Nothobranchius furzeri: one gene and its partner. The protein of the gene in region 1 binds, or shares a complex with, the protein of each later gene. Links are inferred from orthologs where the notes say so. Each region holds a gene or a part of one and is shown in the gene's direction. Other genes may lie near its edges.

Evidence for each region. Proteins that work in one complex are often made in the same cells at the same time.
Region 2: the proteins of f7l (region 1) and f3a are in contact, whole or in part, in a crystal structure (PDB 6R2W), measured with the Homo sapiens proteins. The link is inferred for Nothobranchius furzeri from reciprocal best matches to the Homo sapiens genes F7 and F3. Residues at the interface, in NP_000122.1 of Homo sapiens: Leu73, Lys78, Phe91, Arg96, Leu99, Phe100, Ser103, Ser120, Lys122, Gln124, Leu125, Ile129, Cys130, Phe131, Cys132, Leu133, Pro134, Phe136, Glu137, Gly138, Arg139, Lys145, Gln148, Ile150, Val152, Asn153, Glu154; in NP_001984.1 of Homo sapiens: Thr49, Asn50, Lys52, Ile54, Glu56, Trp77, Lys78, Ser79, Lys80, Phe82, Tyr83, Glu88, Asp90, Asp93, Gly141, Gln142, Thr144, Glu162, Arg163, Thr164, Leu165, Arg167, Phe172, Tyr188, Trp190, Lys191, Ser192, Ser194, Ser195, Gly196.

What each region holds. Positions count from the first base shown.
Region 1 is NC_091743.1:82,201,469-82,209,190, forward strand, and holds the end of f7l (coagulation factor VII), read left to right. Parts: 5' UTR 1-57; coding exon 58-145; intron 146-3,100; coding exon 3,101-3,267; intron 3,268-3,347; coding exon 3,348-3,372; intron 3,373-3,447; coding exon 3,448-3,561; intron 3,562-3,743; coding exon 3,744-3,884; intron 3,885-4,376; coding exon 4,377-4,465; intron 4,466-4,549; coding exon 4,550-4,670; intron 4,671-4,756; coding exon 4,757-5,304; 3' UTR 5,305-5,377; downstream 5,378-7,722. UniProt on the Homo sapiens protein: Initiates the extrinsic pathway of blood coagulation. Serine protease that circulates in the blood in a zymogen form. Factor VII is converted to factor VIIa by factor Xa, factor XIIa, factor IXa, or thrombin by minor proteolysis.
Region 2 is NC_091747.1:36,262,778-36,270,965, forward strand, and holds part of f3a (coagulation factor IIIa), read left to right. Parts: intron 1-845; coding exon 846-957; intron 958-1,913; coding exon 1,914-2,107; intron 2,108-4,349; coding exon 4,350-4,531; intron 4,532-4,617; coding exon 4,618-4,783; intron 4,784-8,188. UniProt on the Homo sapiens protein: Initiates blood coagulation by forming a complex with circulating factor VII or VIIa. The [TF:VIIa] complex activates factors IX or X by specific limited proteolysis.

The sequences.
Region 1 (7,722 bases):
AAGTGTTTTTGTGTGTTTGTTTTTCACTACGTGACCTTTGGTCGGGCCACAACAATCATGGCGTTCATCAGCAAAAAGACGAGTCGTGTCTTCTTCCTACTGCTCATCACTGCTTCTCTCCCATCATGCACTGGGACTCAAGGAGGTCAGTTTGTTCCTTCAACTCTTCTTCTTCACCTCAGGGATCCGTTCCCATCAGGACTCCATCAGAGGAGTGCAGACCACAAGCAGATTACACAATCTGATGGCTTAAACTTTTCCTGTTTTATTAGTTTGTTCTATAATATTTATTTCTCTAACTGATTTTAGTGAGCAGGACTTTATGAAATTGTATTAAATATAATATATTATAAAATCAGGATTGGTGTTAATATGTTTAAAAAATCTGTAAAAGTTAATTTTAATAAGATTTTTAAAAATTACGTTATAGAGAACATTTTTATTTAGATATGAGCTGGTCTGGATATGAGATGGTCTGGATATGAAAGGGTCTGGATATGAGATGTCTGGATATGAGATGGTTTGGATATGAGATGGTCTGGATATGAGATGTCTGGATATGAGATGGTTTGGATATGAGATGTCTGGATATGAGATGGTCTGGATATGAGATGGTTTGGATGTGAGATGTCTGGATATGAGATGTCTGGATATGAGATGGTTTGGATATGAGATGGTCTGGATATGAGATGGTTTGGATATGAGATGTCTGGATATGAGATGGTTTGGATATGAGATGTCTGGATATGAGATGGTTTGGATATGAGATGTCTGGATATGAGATGGTTTGGATATGAGATGTCTGGATATGAGATGGTTTGGATATGAGATGTCTGGATATGAGATGGTTTGGATATGAGATGTCTGGATATGAGATGGTTTGGATATGAGATGTCTGGATATGAGATGGTTTGGATATGAGATGTCTGGATATGAGATGGTCTGGATATGAGATGGTTTGGATATGAGATGTCTGGATATGAGATGGTTTGGATATGAGATGGTTTGGATATGAGATGTCTGGATATGAGATGTCTGGATATTAGATGGTTTGGATATGAGATGGTTTGGATATGAGATGTCTGGATATGAGATGGTCTGGATATGAGATGGTTTGGATATGAGATGTCTGGATATGAGATGTCTGGATATGAGATGGTTTGGATATGAGATGGTTTGGACATGAGATGTCTGGATATGAGATGGTTTGGATATGAGATGGTTTGGATATGAGATGTCTAGATATGAGATGGTTTGGATATGAGATGGTTTGGATATGAGATGGTTTGGATATGAGATGTCTGGATATGAGATGGTTTGGATATGAGATGGTTTGGATATGAGAGGTCTGGATATGAGATGGTTTGGATATGAGATGGTTTGGATATGAGATGTCTGGATATGAGATGTCTGGATATGAGATGGTTTGGATATGAGATGTCTGGATATGAGATGGTTTGGATATGAGATGTCTGGATATGAGATGTCTGGATATGAGATGTCTGGATATGAGATGTCTGGATATGAGATGGTCTGGATATGAGATGTCTGGATATGAGATGTCTGGATATGAGATGGTCTGGATATGAGATGTCTGGATATGAGATGTCTGGATATGAGATGGTCTGGATATGCGATGGTCTGGATATGAGATGTCTGGATATGAGATGTCTGGATATGAGATGGTCTGGATATGAGATGTCTGGATATGAGATGTCTGGATATGAGATGGTTTGGATATGAGATGGTCTGGATATGAGATGGTTTGGATTTGAGATGTCTGGATATGAAATGTCTGGATATGAGATGGTTTGGATTTGAGATGTCTGGATATGAGATGGTTTGGATATGAGATGGTTTGGATATGAGATGTCTGGATATGAGATGGTCTAGATATGAGATGGTTTGGATATGAGATTGTTTGGATATGAGATGTCTGGATATGAGATGGTCTAGATATGAGATGGTTTGGATATGAGATTGTTTGGATATGAGATGGTTTGGATATGAGATGTCTGGATATGAAATATCTGAATATGAGATGTCTGGATATGAAATGTCTGAATATGAGATGTCTGGATATGAGATGGTTTGGATATGAGATGGTCTGGATATGAGATGGTTTGGATTTGAGATGTCTGGATATGAGATGTCTGGATATGAGATGGTTTGGATTTGAGATGTCTGGATATGAGATGGTTTGGATATGAGATGGTTTGGATATGAGATGTCTGGATATGAGATGGTCTAGATATGAGATGGTTTGGATATGAGATTGTTTGGATATGAGATGTCTGGATATGAGATGGTTTGGATATGAGATGGTTTGGATATGAGATTGTTTGGATATGAGATGGTTTGGATATGAGATGTCTGGATATGAAATGTCTGAATATGAGATGTCTGGATATGAAATGTCTGAATATGAGATGTCTGGATATGAAATGTCTGAATATGAGATGTCTGAGATGTCTGAATATGAGATGTCTGGATATGAGATGTCTGAATATGAGATGGTCTGGATATGAGATGGTTTGGATATGAGATTGTTTGGATATGAGATGGTTTGGATATGAGATTGTTTGGATATGAGATGGTTTGGATATGAGATGTCTGGATATGAAATGTCTGAATATGAGATGTCTGGATATGAAATGTCTGAATATGAGATGTCTGAGATGTCTGAATATGAGATGTCTGGATATGAAATGTCTGAATATGAGATGTCTGGATATGAAATGTCTGGATATGAGATGTCTGAATATGAGATGGTCTGGATATGAGATGTCTGGATATGAGAAGGATTTGGGAAGATTGAGAGAAGGATCCAGGTTTGGAAGCAAAACCTTTGTCTTTGGTGCTGGTGGTGAGACCATAATATTTATTAATCATATTTCTCAGACTTGGAGATCTGTAGATCTTCCTCCTCATATTAATTTCCTTGCTGAAGTAAGATTTGGGTTTTAGTAACATTTTAGAAATATTCTGATGAGTTCTGCCCTCAGGTTTGTACCAAAGTTTTTTCATCTAATTCCAGCGGACATGAAGACCTTTTGCTTATGGTGTGCTTTTAGTTAATCTCTTCTATTTTTCGATAAAGGAGGAATGCTTCTGGACCAACGTGAGGCCAACATTTTCCTGCATCGTACTCGTCGTGCAAACTTCTTACTGGAGGAGGTGAAATTAGGAAACCTGGAGAGAGAATGTTTGGAAGAGAAATGTTCCTATGAGGAAGCCAGGGAGATCTTTGCCACACCTCAGCAGCTGGTAATTCATAGTCAAACCCATCATTTTAATCATTTTAGTTACACAATCTTCTCTGTTTTTATTGTGTTTTCTGTTTCCAGGAGAACTTCTGGAGGACATACACAGGTAGAGAAGACTCCAGCATTGATCATATGTAAGGTAACGTTGCTTTTTGTTGACTTTTTCATTTCCTGTTTCAAGCTGTAGACCACTGCTCATCATCTCCCTGTAAGAATGGAGCAACCTGCACTCGTCACATCGACAGCTACATCTGCAAATGTTCACCAGGCTTCCACGGATTCAACTGTGACAAAGGTAGGAACAGCAGCTACAGGTCAGATGCTTCTCCTGGTCCTCCTTCATGTTGCCTCTGGTTTCATCATGTTGTCTATTCCTGTTGGTCTTGTTTTATGTTGTCTTGTTTCTTCAGGTTGTCTCCATTCGGTCTTTCTTCACGTTGTCTCGGGTTTCTTCACGTTGTCTCTTGTCATTCGCAGTCCGCTCAACCCCAAACAGCTGTCGCTACAGAAATGGAGGATGTGAGCATTTCTGCAGACAGCCCCCGGATCAATCTCCTTCCTGTTTCTGTGCTTCAGGATATGGTCTGGATGAGGACAACAACACATGCCTGCCTAAAGGTCTGAACTGGTTAACAGGTTAACTGGATCTGGTGACAACAGAGCAGCTCACCTTCATTTATTCCTAACCAGATGACAGTTTTCTTTACATTCATACATTTAGTTGGAACCAAACTGGTGTTTTCAGCCAGTAATCTAGTGGTCAAAGCTCATTTAGGTGTTACTTCAGAATCTACCCAGAATTCCTGGTTGGACTTCTCTGGGAGGATCTCCTCCAGGTTGACCATGTGTTCCTGCTACATAAACCCTAAAGGGGGAAAGTTCGAAACCACAAGACTTGAAACTGGAGTGTGGCAACAACCAGAGCTAGTACTGGTATGAAAGGGGTTTCTTCTCAGGGTCTTTCAGAGTGTCTTTTGAAAACAAATGTCCATGTTGAGTATCTTCTTCTGGTTGTGGTTTCAAGCTTGTTTGGGAGTTTTTTTCAGAGCTTGTTGGATATTTAGCATAAGAGGCAGCATGCTGACCGGTTCTGTTGTGGGTGTGGTCTAGAGGCCGTTGTCTGTGGAAGACCATTGGTACATTTTACCCCGAGGATTGTCAATGGTCAGATGTGTCCTAAAGGACAGTGTCCATGGCAGGTACGTTTTACCCTCCAGTCACATCAGGTGCTCTTCAGCTGGACCCAGACCACTTGACCTTCCTGGTCTCTGCTGTCTCTTCAGGCTATGTTAAGTGAAAACAACAAGTTCACATGTGGTGCCATTGTCCTGTCAGAAGTGTGGATTTTAACAGCAGCTCACTGCGTTTGGTCGAAGCCTGTCGCCATCTTCCACGTCACCGTTGGTAAGGTTGAAGTTGGACTACTTATCTTTTTTTTTCTCTTTTTTTAGTCAGGCTCAGTCTTTGTCTCCAACTGTGTTTGTGTGAAGGCAAACATGACCGACAGGAGCCTGAGAAGACTGAACAGCAACGGCGAGTTCTTGAGGTGGTGATCCATCAAAACTACAGTCACTCCACCTACGACAGTGACCTGGCTCTGCTCAAGCTGCACCGCCCGATCAAACTGGGGCGCTACGTGGTGCCCATCTGCCTCCCTGCTCGCAACAGCACCTTCACTCGGACTCTGTCTTTAGTCCGCCTTTCCACGGTGTCTGGGTGGGGCCGCCTGTTAGAGTTTGGTTCTTCTGCTCGATTCCTGCAGCGTTTGGTGGTGCCAAAGGTCCACCCGCAGGAGTGTCGCCTCCACACGCAGCTCAACATCACCAAGAACATGATGTGTGCAGGACGAAGGCGTGGTGGCCAGGACGCATGTGAAGGTGACAGCGGTGGCCCACTGGTAACACGCTACAAGAAGACCTGGTTCCTAACGGGCGTGGTGAGCTGGGGAATGGGCTGCGCTAAAGAAAATATGTACGGCATTTACACCAAAGTCAGCAACTTTCTGGACTGGATCGACAAAATTATGGCTACTGGTTAATCTGGGTCAGACCAGTGGTGAGAAGTCACAGTTTAAAGTGTGGAGAAAGTTTGAATAAACTGCTGCTGATTTATTCTGAGTCTGAACTTTTTGTTCCTTCTGCATAACAGTTTAGATCCTATGCTAATAACCATCATTAGTATCTGTTGGCTAAATCTTAGCTCACATCAAGCAATGAAACACGAGAACAACCAATCACAAGCAGGACTCACACACACAAGAGTGGGAGGAGCTTTGAAGGAAGAGCTGAAGCACAGCAGAGAGGGAGGGGGCGGGACCTCATTGAACAAAATGCTTTGTTTTGTCTGCGTCTGCGTCTTCCCTCATGTGTCTCCTTGTGTTCTTCATCCGTCTCTAGGTTCTCCCTTTGTGTCTCCCAGCGCCCTCATGTGTCCTTGTCTACGTCTCCCTCATGTGTCTCCTTGTGTTCCTCATGTGTCCCCAGATCTGCAGCCCCTCTAGGGTCCCCCCCCCCCCCCCCCCCCCCCGTATCCCCTCCAGGTCCTGTGCTCCCATGGTTTTAGCATCTCTCGGTTTAGATATTTGGATTTTTGATTCTCGTTTTTTTTGGCTCCCTGCCTTCTTGGATTACTCCTAAATAAAGGATTTTATTTTCATCATCCACTTCCTGCCTTGTTCATCTGGTTCTCTGCATCTTTGGTCCTAAACTTCCTCCTGCCCAACTCGTGACATGTTTGACAGTAAAATATCCATCATAACCACAAGACTAATTAGAAAGCAGGCAAATCTTTATATCAGGGCTCATTAATAACTTAAAGTTTTAGTTTGATTTATCTTTTATGTCAATAATTTAGATTCACAAATTATTTGATCTATTATTTAATTGGTCAGTAATTTCAACATGAAAACAACAGACTGACTCTTTGGAGGTTTTCTTTACCAATTAAACATCTTTGTTTTTATTCTAAGTTGATTAACGCATACATTCTTTCAGTGGTAAAATAGCATGATTCTAGGGTTAAAATGTTCCATCACTGAGAGTAAGACTGGTGACTGGAGGAACTTTGACCATTGACCCGGACAGATGTTTACAGGACTGAAACGTGATCTGAACATCGATCCCCTTGCATTTCACTACTCAGGTGTTTCCATGGTCACCAGCAATTGGGGGGTGGGGGGGGGGGGGGCACTTTGTACCTTCATGTCCACGGAGGCAAAGGACGGCAGTCCTGTGACAAAGTCAAGCATGTGGCTGAGAGTCTTCATCATGTTGGTCTTCAGCCTTCAGAGCTGCTGCTCAGTTTCAGGTGAGAGAATTGTATGTTCTTCTGATCAGAGAAGACGTGTTTAGTCTTTAATAGCAACAGCGCTGTCAGCTAGATAATGAAGGTTATGCAAACAAATGATAACATCCACTCTGACTTTTACTTGCCTCTTAAGTTCAACGATCTTTGGGTTTTAAACAGCAAAAGCCAAGAAAACGAGGAGTTCTTGGTTTTACACAAAAACACTGAAAACTGGATTACTTGTAATAATTAAATGAGTGAAGCAAAAAACTGACCAATACACCAAAGATGAAACAAACAGCAGAATTTAAATGACTTGCTTGAAAACAGGAAGTGACATCACCATTTACCAGGATTCTACTCCTGGTTTAGATTAAAGTTTGTGGTTTAAAGGAATGAATGGTTTAAGTGTTAACTAGCTTGTGTCCACCTGATTTCTTTTCTGATGGATCCAAAAAAAAAAACTTTCTGGTGTTTAATAGTTGGTGTTCTTGGCTAAACATCCCATAAAACTCCCCCTGATCTCTAGAGAACTGCTGTAAACAATCACAACTATCAATTAACAGATTCTTTAAGTGAATTTATTAAAAAATATCTTGATGACTACAATCCTGGTCAATTCTTTACTTGTTCTGTGTTCCTCAGTCTTTCTGGGTCCAGACCAGGCCCATGGTGTTCTGATCCGGACTCGGAGGTACAACTCCGGCTGGTTTGAGGAGCTGAAAACGGGAGATCTGGAGAGGGAGTGTTTGGAGGAGAAGTGCAGCTTTGAGGAGGCCAGAGAGGTGTTTGAGCATACAGAGACGGCGGTTAGTGATGTTCCAGATGAACTCTGAATCTAGAAGTCTGAGTCCAGAAAACTGACAGAACCCAGCAGGTGCTGCTGGTACTTCCACTGATGTTCTGCTCTTTTCTTTTCCTCAGAACGAGTTCTGGAAGACGTATTCCAGTAAGAAACACTTTTTTGTTACTTGAAATGTCTCTCTGATGATTGTCTCACTCTATTGTGGTGGTTCTCCAACTTCTGACTTAAAATGAACTCCAGAAGAAGAAAACTTGTTTGATGTTTCCTGTAAGGTGTTTGATGGAAGGAGAAACTGGATTGGTGGGGGCTCCAATCTATTTATGGGACCCGTGGATCCTTGCAGTACAGCCTCTGAAATGTGGAATC
Region 2 (8,188 bases), on another chromosome or scaffold:
CAAACGATCAAACTTTACACTGAATTTAATAATGAAAATATTTTTAATATTTTTATTTATGCAGGGAATTAAGAGGTAAGTTATTATTATTATTATTATTATTATTATTAAGTAAATACTACCACTACTAATCATAATAATATTAATGCAAGTGAATAATTTACAACCTTTTGTTTAGACAGCTATATTTAAAGTTTCTTTTGTTTACTATTTTTAAATAAAGGGACTAAAACAGCCGCTGGCTGACCTGCTGTTAGAGGGATTCTCTAAAGTTCAGGTCTCCATCAGATTATGAGATGTTTAGTGGAAAACTGCAGCGCCAGAGCTTTTTTTCCACAGAGAATGCCTCACAAGGCATTCATTCATTCCACTGCAGCAGATTTATTGAACTATTGAGTGAATGAGAGCTTTAAGGTCCTACAACTCCTAACATGCACGAGTCTGTTCAGTTTCATCCCACAGATGGATTATGGATCACTGGAGGGCGAGGTTCAGGAAGTATCTGGTTTAATCCTCTGCTTTTACCTGTTGGAGAAACTCTAGTGGAGTAAATAAGATCAGACGACTCCAAAGCCAAGGCAGAACCTTTATCTGAGGACATAGTTGAGCTCCAGGTTCTCAGCCCCGAGGCTGATTCTCAGATCTCTCCTGAACTTTTGTCTGCATCTCTGAATTTTACAGTTTAAACAACAACAACAAAAAAAATCAGTAAAATGCTTCCATAACTTCAGAGTAAAGAACCAGTTTCTTCTGGAGGCTGTTGATGTACCATGGTCACATCTGACCTTTAACCTTTGACTTGAACCACCTCTGTGGAACTGAACCAAACACCTTCTGTGTTGCAGCCATGTTTCCTCGAGCCCAGAACATCTCGTGGAAGTCCACCAACTTCAAGACGGTTCTGACCTGGGAACCCAAACCGTCAGCTGATTACTCGTACACAGTGGAGTTCTCAGTGTGAGTATCACCAGTTTGCCCAGTTTAACCAGCAGAACACCCAAATGTCACACAGAGAAACCAGATCTGCTGGAGTTATGTTCAGATTATTATATTCTGGTCGACACGTTTGACTGGTGGAGCTCAGGTGACCAATAGGACCACTGCGGGTCAGAACTGGTTATGGTGTAACGGTCCAGTCGTTTAGAACGGGACGTGCACAGTGAGTGGTCGAAGGTTTTCCAGCATTCCACGATTCAGAGGAGATTCAGATCATTCATTGTTTTGACTAAACATTACGGGTTTTTTTTTTTTGTTGCCACCAGTTTTAACATTTAGAGCAATGAGGCAAGAATGTTCCAGCTTCAACCATCACTTAGAGTCGGTTTCAAAACCCGCCAGGAACGACTGTTACTGTTAACAGAAGAAGAAAGCTTTAAGGTCTGAAACATTAGAGCTGCCCTACGTACGACCTTTAGAGGAAACTGCAAAAACAGGAAGTTGAGCACGCTAAAGACTTAGTTAAAGGGTCAGAGGTTACACAGTCCTGAATGCTGTCGAACAGATAAAGTGTTACAGCTGCGGTGGCTCAACTCAAAGAGCCGCCAGGAGTTCTGTCCCCCTCAGGACCACGTCTGGCTCAGGCTGGACCTTTCTGGATGGTGTGAATGTGTGTGTGTTCCTATCAGAAACGTGAGATATGAGCTTTCATGTAGCTGATTTCATGTTGTTGTTTTTTCTTCACATGGGTACTGTTGTTATCACTGAGAAGCTGAATGCCAGGTCCCAGACAGAGACCCGACCTGAGAACGAGCTAAATAATACGTTAGAGAGAAGAACATCTGAACTGCCCTGTGTTAAACACACACACTGTGTGTGTGTGTGCGTGCGTGCGTGCGTGTGTGCGTGCGTGTGTGTGTGTGTGTGTGTGTGTGTGTGTGTGTGTGTGTGTGTGTGTGTGCGTGCACACACTACAGGGTTGGAGGGGACAAAGAGCGAAACCATCACTGTGTCAGATCCAGCTCTACGACCTGTGACCTGTCTATGTCTCTGACTAACCTGGATGTCTGCTACACAGCTGACATCTTGTCAGAACCCCCGCTTGGTGTGACCTCTGACCTCACAGAGTTCCCACACAGCAGCGCACCTCGTTTCTGCCCGACCACAGACAGTAAGTGCCTCCGTCTGCCTTCGTGTCCTCCCACATCATCGTCATCTCCTGTCACCATGGAAACAGACATTACAAAAACGCAGCACAGTTAAAATCCAAATACCTGAGCAACACCGTCCACAGAGACTCCCAACACTGACCTGGAAACAGGTCGTTCTGTTCTGGTGCAGCAGAAGAAAGATCAGAGGAGAAAAGACCAGTCATCTGTTCACTAGATAGAAATCAACACACTGTATGTGCTCTGCTTTGGAACAGAAAGGGTTTTACCTTTTACTCTCCTTTTGAGTCACTCCTTGGCTGCTCCTAGAAATTATGAACAGAATCCAGGACAAAACCCCCAACGTTTACTGAAATGATTCTGATGCCATCCAAAACAACCTTTGTCAGGGATTCAAAAAGCCCTTAGAAGGTCACGTGAATCCCCACAGGACACCTTGATAGACAGGACCGTAGGCCTTTACTAAGTCAATAAAACACATGAAGACTGGCTGGGCAACTCCTGTTGCACCCTCACTCTCCCTGGTATAGACCTTGCCGGGGTGTCCGAGTAGAGGGAACGTACATACCCCTGGTTCCCTCTTTTGAAGGAAAGGACCACCGCCACAGTCTGCTAGCCCAAATGTACTGTCCCTGAAGTGTCAACCACCATCAGCATCTAAAGGCTTTGGAAACATGGGGGGGTCCTCATCTCTGGCTGAGATTGGATGATGGTTTGCCAGAAACTCTTTGAAGCCATCTTGGGTTGTACTCAGTGGTTGAGTGGTGCACACTTGTGACATTACTAAACATGAACTTATTCTACCTTAAAGAGATGCGTCACCATTGCAGCTGTTACACAACCCGAGTTTCACCAGACTCCTTCCACACTGGAGTTCAGTTTCTGCATCCTCTCAAGCACGGGTCTGCTCGGCCTGCCAGCTGCTTCAGGAGTCCCATGAGCTAATCAAGCTCAACACGCTGGTGGTCATTATGATGTAAGAAAATATCGACATGGCAATATATCACAATATTTTTTCCTGCGATATTATATCAATACTCAAAAGCCGTGTATCAGACTTTTGGAAGAATTTCTTTTGGTGTAATTCAAAGGCCGGCCACTAGGAAGCAGCAGTGTGCAACGGGTTTTGTTTCCACCACTGAAATGTAAATCCCTCCATTATGGTTCAGATACTTCATGTTAAACATGTTGCATATCAGTTTGGACTGTTTATTGAATTTTCCTACAATAATTTCAGTCTAAAAAATCGTTATTGTCATCTGGCTGAATGTATCGCAATATTCCGTGATATATATATATATATATATATATATATATATATATATATATATATATATATATATATATATATATATATATCGTCTCCCCTGTGTTGTGATATGTATCCTATCGCCAGAATTTCACCAATACACATCCCTAGTGGTCATCATGATATGCACCAACTACCCTATATCCTGAATTTCAAGCAGCTGCATCAGCAGTAGAGGCCTGGAACATGGTCCCATCAAATTCAAGGTCCACTGCTCCTCAGAAAGAAAAAAGCTGTACTGGAGGTGAAGTTTCTGCCTGACGTTCCCAGAACACCCTCACTGTTTGCTAGGGTGCACTGTTCAGCTTCTCCCCTCTCCACCTGATCCAGCTCACCATCAGGAGGTGATCAGTTGAGAGCACAGCTACTCTCTTCACCTGAGTGTCCAAATCACACTAAACATATCTGATGACATGATAATCAATCACTGACCTGCGAACCAGACTGTCTTGGTGCTACGTGTTGTTGTGGACGAACCGTGAAGTCAGACAACAAAAACCACCAGGGTCCAGATATGGTGAGACGGTTTTCCCAATCACACCCCTCCAGGTCCCACTGGTATTACTCATGAGGGTATTGAAGCCCAAGAAGGGTACTCTGACCTGTTGCTGGTGCTTATGCACAATGCCTGCCCTATATGATGGCAGAGCAAGATTTTCAGCTGGGCAACAAGCCACAGGTAAACCCATCCCCACTCAGCACCTCTACCCCAGGCTGGACTCCAGAGTGAGCCCGGGTATCCCTAGTCCTTGGTGAGGTTTCCTGGTTTTTAGTTCTTGTAGTCACCTCATCTAGAACCAATCTGTCATGGGATAGCCTACCAGAGGCAGACATGCCCCAAACAACATTTGTGTGCCACTCAACACCCCCACAATGCTAGGGTGATGATTTGTGGGGGTGTATGTGCTTTAAATAATCAACTCTCTCCTCTAAAGCCGACATTGGCCGACCAGAATTCCAGATAAAGGAGCACGAAGACAAAAAGTCTGTCACGCTGTACGTGTCAGACCCGCTCACCGCTCTCTTTAAAGATGGCCGCCAGCAGAACATCAGAGACATCCTTTCTGACAAGCTCTATTACAAAGTGACATATCGGAAAAATAAGAGCTCCGGGAAAGTGAGTAACAGCAAACGCGGCTGCCCTGATGACACGTTTGACAGACTTGTACTGGTGTAATGGTTTTCTTCTGATCTGTTGTTCAGAAAGAGTTGGAGTCCAAGTCCAGTAATATAGAAGTGACTGGTCTGGACCCAGAGGACGGCTACTGCTTCAGCGTCCAGGCCTCCATACCCAGCAGGACAGCCAAGCAGCTAGGGGAGATGAGTCAGACGGTGTGCTCCAACAACACCAACCAGTCCATCATCAAAGGTGAGCTGCCCTGAGGTTCACGTCCCACTGTCTCCATACACGTCCAGATGTGAAACCAATGTGTGTCCCAGAGAGAAACAAGATAGTAAACAGTATTTGGTCGGACTACTAAAGAAAGTGACCTACATCTCCCTGGTTCCAGTGTGAAGAACTTTGAAAGTATTAACCAGAAATGATCAGATCTTAAAAGTGTTCTGTTTAATCAATTTGTTTTGTCTGTTCTGACAAATGAAACATAATCAGTTATCTGTTTAATTATCTAGATGGAAGAATTAACTGATCTGAGTTTGAACAATGTTTTGTTGTTGGATTGTCCATTATGAACTCTAGACTCAAGACTCAAGACAACTTTATTAGTCCCCGAGGGGCAATTCGAGACAGCATTGTGAAGCAGCCGGCACTAAAATCTCTAAATTCTAAAAACACATCCAAATTACACATTTGTAAAACCCATAAAAACCTATATACACAATCATGTCATAAACTCACATGTGAATGACCAACAATGATTAAAACTTTGGCTCACTCACACACACACACACACACACACACACACACACACACATGTAACTACATGCACGCACACATACAAGTAATGCACACTCCCCCTATCTGCACTGAGAATTAAGAAGAAGCACAGCTCTGGGAACAAAGGAACTTCTCCTCCTCTGTGTTTTACAGCATGGGCATCGAAGTCGGCGTTTGGAGGGCAGCCACTCGAAAACAGTATGAAGAGGGTGTGATGGGTCTTTAATGATTTTCTGTGCTAAACTTCCTGTATGCTGGTCACATTGAGAAGTTAAGCTTCGCAGTGGTAGTCCAATGATCCGAGAGCACACCTTGACGGTGCTTTGTAGACGGCTTCTATACTGCAGGCTGACAGAATAAAACCAACAGGGGATGGAAAATGTGATAACACTCTCTATAAAAGAATAATAGAAAGTCAGTAAAATGTCCTTCCTGACTCCAAATCTACACCATCTACAAAGGTGTCCATATGTGCTCTTGGCACCAGGATACCTCAGGCTGCAGCTCGATAATCGACTTTGTTGTCGTCTCATCTGATCTGCGGCCGCATGTCTTGGACACTTGGGTGAGGAGAGGGGCGGAGCTGTCAACTGACCACTACTTGGTGGTGAGTTGGCTTCGATGGTGGGGGAGGATGCTGGTCTGACCTGGCAGGCCCAAAGATATTGGGAGGGTCTGCTGGGAACGTCTGGTAGAGTCTCCTGTCAAAAGACATTTCAATTCCCACCCCTGACAGAACCTTCAAAATGTTTTGGAGGAGGCGGGGGACATTGAGTTTGAGTGGAGCATGTTCCGTGCTTCCACTGTCGAGGCGGCCGACTGGAGCTGCGGCCGCAGGGTCATCGGTGCCTGCCGTGGTGGCCATCCTCGAACCCGCTGGTGGACAACGATGGTTGGGGATGCAGTCAAGCTGAAAAAAGAGTCTTATTGGGCGGAGTACTTCAAAGACCACCTGAATCCCACCAGCATGTCTTCCAGTGAGGAAGCAGAGTCTGGGGACTTTGGGTTAGCCTCTCAAATCTCTGGTGCTGAGGTCACTGGGGTGGTCAAAAAGCCCCACATGGCAAGGCTCCAGGGGTGGATGAGATCTGCCCAGATTTCTTTAATGCTCTGGATGTTGTGGGGCTGTGTTTGCTCACGCGGCTCTGCAGTATTGCGTGGACATCAGGGGCTGTTCTACTGGACTGGCAGACTGGGGTGGTAGTCCCCCTATTTTAAAAGGGGGACTGCAGGGTGTGTTCCAACTACAGGGGGCTCAAACTCCTGAGCCTGGTAAGGTCTATTAAGAGGTTCTGGAGAGGAGGGTCCGTTGGATTGTTGAACCTCGGTTTCAGAAGGAACAATGTGGTTTTTATCCTGGCCGTGGAACACTGGACCAGCTCTTTACCCTTAGGATGGTAGGGAGGATGGGGTACCAGGCCCTCTGATACGGGCTTCTAGGTCCCTGTATGACCGTGCTAGAGCTTGGCCATGGCTTGGACATTGCCGGCAGTAAGTCGGGCTCGTTTCTTGTGAGAGTTGGACTCCGCCAAGGCTGCCCTTTATCACTGATTCTGTTCATAACTTTTATGGACAGGATTTCCAGGCACAGCCAAGGTGTTAAGGGGATCGTTTTGGTGGCCTAAGGATCAGGTGTCTGCTTTTTGCAGATGATGTGGTCCTGCTGGCTTCATCAGAACATGACCTCCTGCTCTCACTGGAGCGGTCTGCAGTGGAGTCTGAAATGGCTGGGATGGGAATCCGCTCCTAAATCTGAGACCCTGGTCTCGAGTCAGAAAAGGGTAGAATGCCTTCTCTGGGTCAGGGATGATATGTCATAGGTGGAGGAGTTTAATCATCTCTGGGTCTTGTCAATGAGTGACGGAAGGATGGAGCGTGACATCAGTAGGCAGACTGGTGCATCTGCAGTGATGTGTGCATTGTACCGATCTGTTGTGGTGGACAGAGACCTGAGCTGGAAGGGAAAGCTCTCGATTTACCGGGCGATCTACGTTCCAACCCTCACCTATGGTGACGAGCTTAGGGTAGTGACCAAAAGAATTAAAGTCCCATTAGTTGTCAGTGTATGTGTGTGTGAAATTAAATCTCCATATCTGACACTCGAGGGACTATGTGTCTCGGCTGGCCAGGGAACGCCTTGAGGTTCTCCTGGAGGAGCTGGCCCAAGTGGCTGGAGAGAAGAAAGTCTGGGCCTCCCTGCTTAGACTGCAGCCCCTGCGACCCGAACCGGATAAACGGCTGAAAATGGATGAATCAGAGCCAGAAGGGTTTAATTGCCATATGTGTGAGAAACAACATTAGGATATTGCTGCAGTACTTGATGCAAGAAAAAAATAAGTGAAAAATTAGAATAAAGAAATAAACACAATGAAAAGATAATAATATAGGGAGGCAATATTTAGAGAAGCAGCTACTTGATACAAGTCAGTGTAGGTACTGGCCAGAGCGGCTCAGTTCAGGTGCAAACACAACGCTATAGTCAGGTGATGGAAGCAAAGCAGCGGGAGTGGGCAGGTCTATGATTGATATTCATGAAGGAACTGTTTTTGCGGTGAGTGGTTCTGGTCCGAATGGATCGGAGCCTCCTGCCAGATGGGAGCGAGTCAAAGAGACTTTGTCCTGGGTGAGACGGGCCTGCTGTGCATGCCTCAATGTCCTGGAGGTGGACGGATGGATGTTGAATAAAAAAAAATTATCCTGAGTCCGAAATAAAGACTTGATTTCCCTCTGATGGTTTAGAAGGTGTAGAGTGCCCCCTTCAGGTGGTAGGAAGAACTGACTTTTTACTTTCAAAAACATCAGCATCCAGGTGTGTGTGTGTGTGTGTGTGTGTGTGTGTGTGTGTGTCCACAAGTCCATCACACGTCAACCACACAC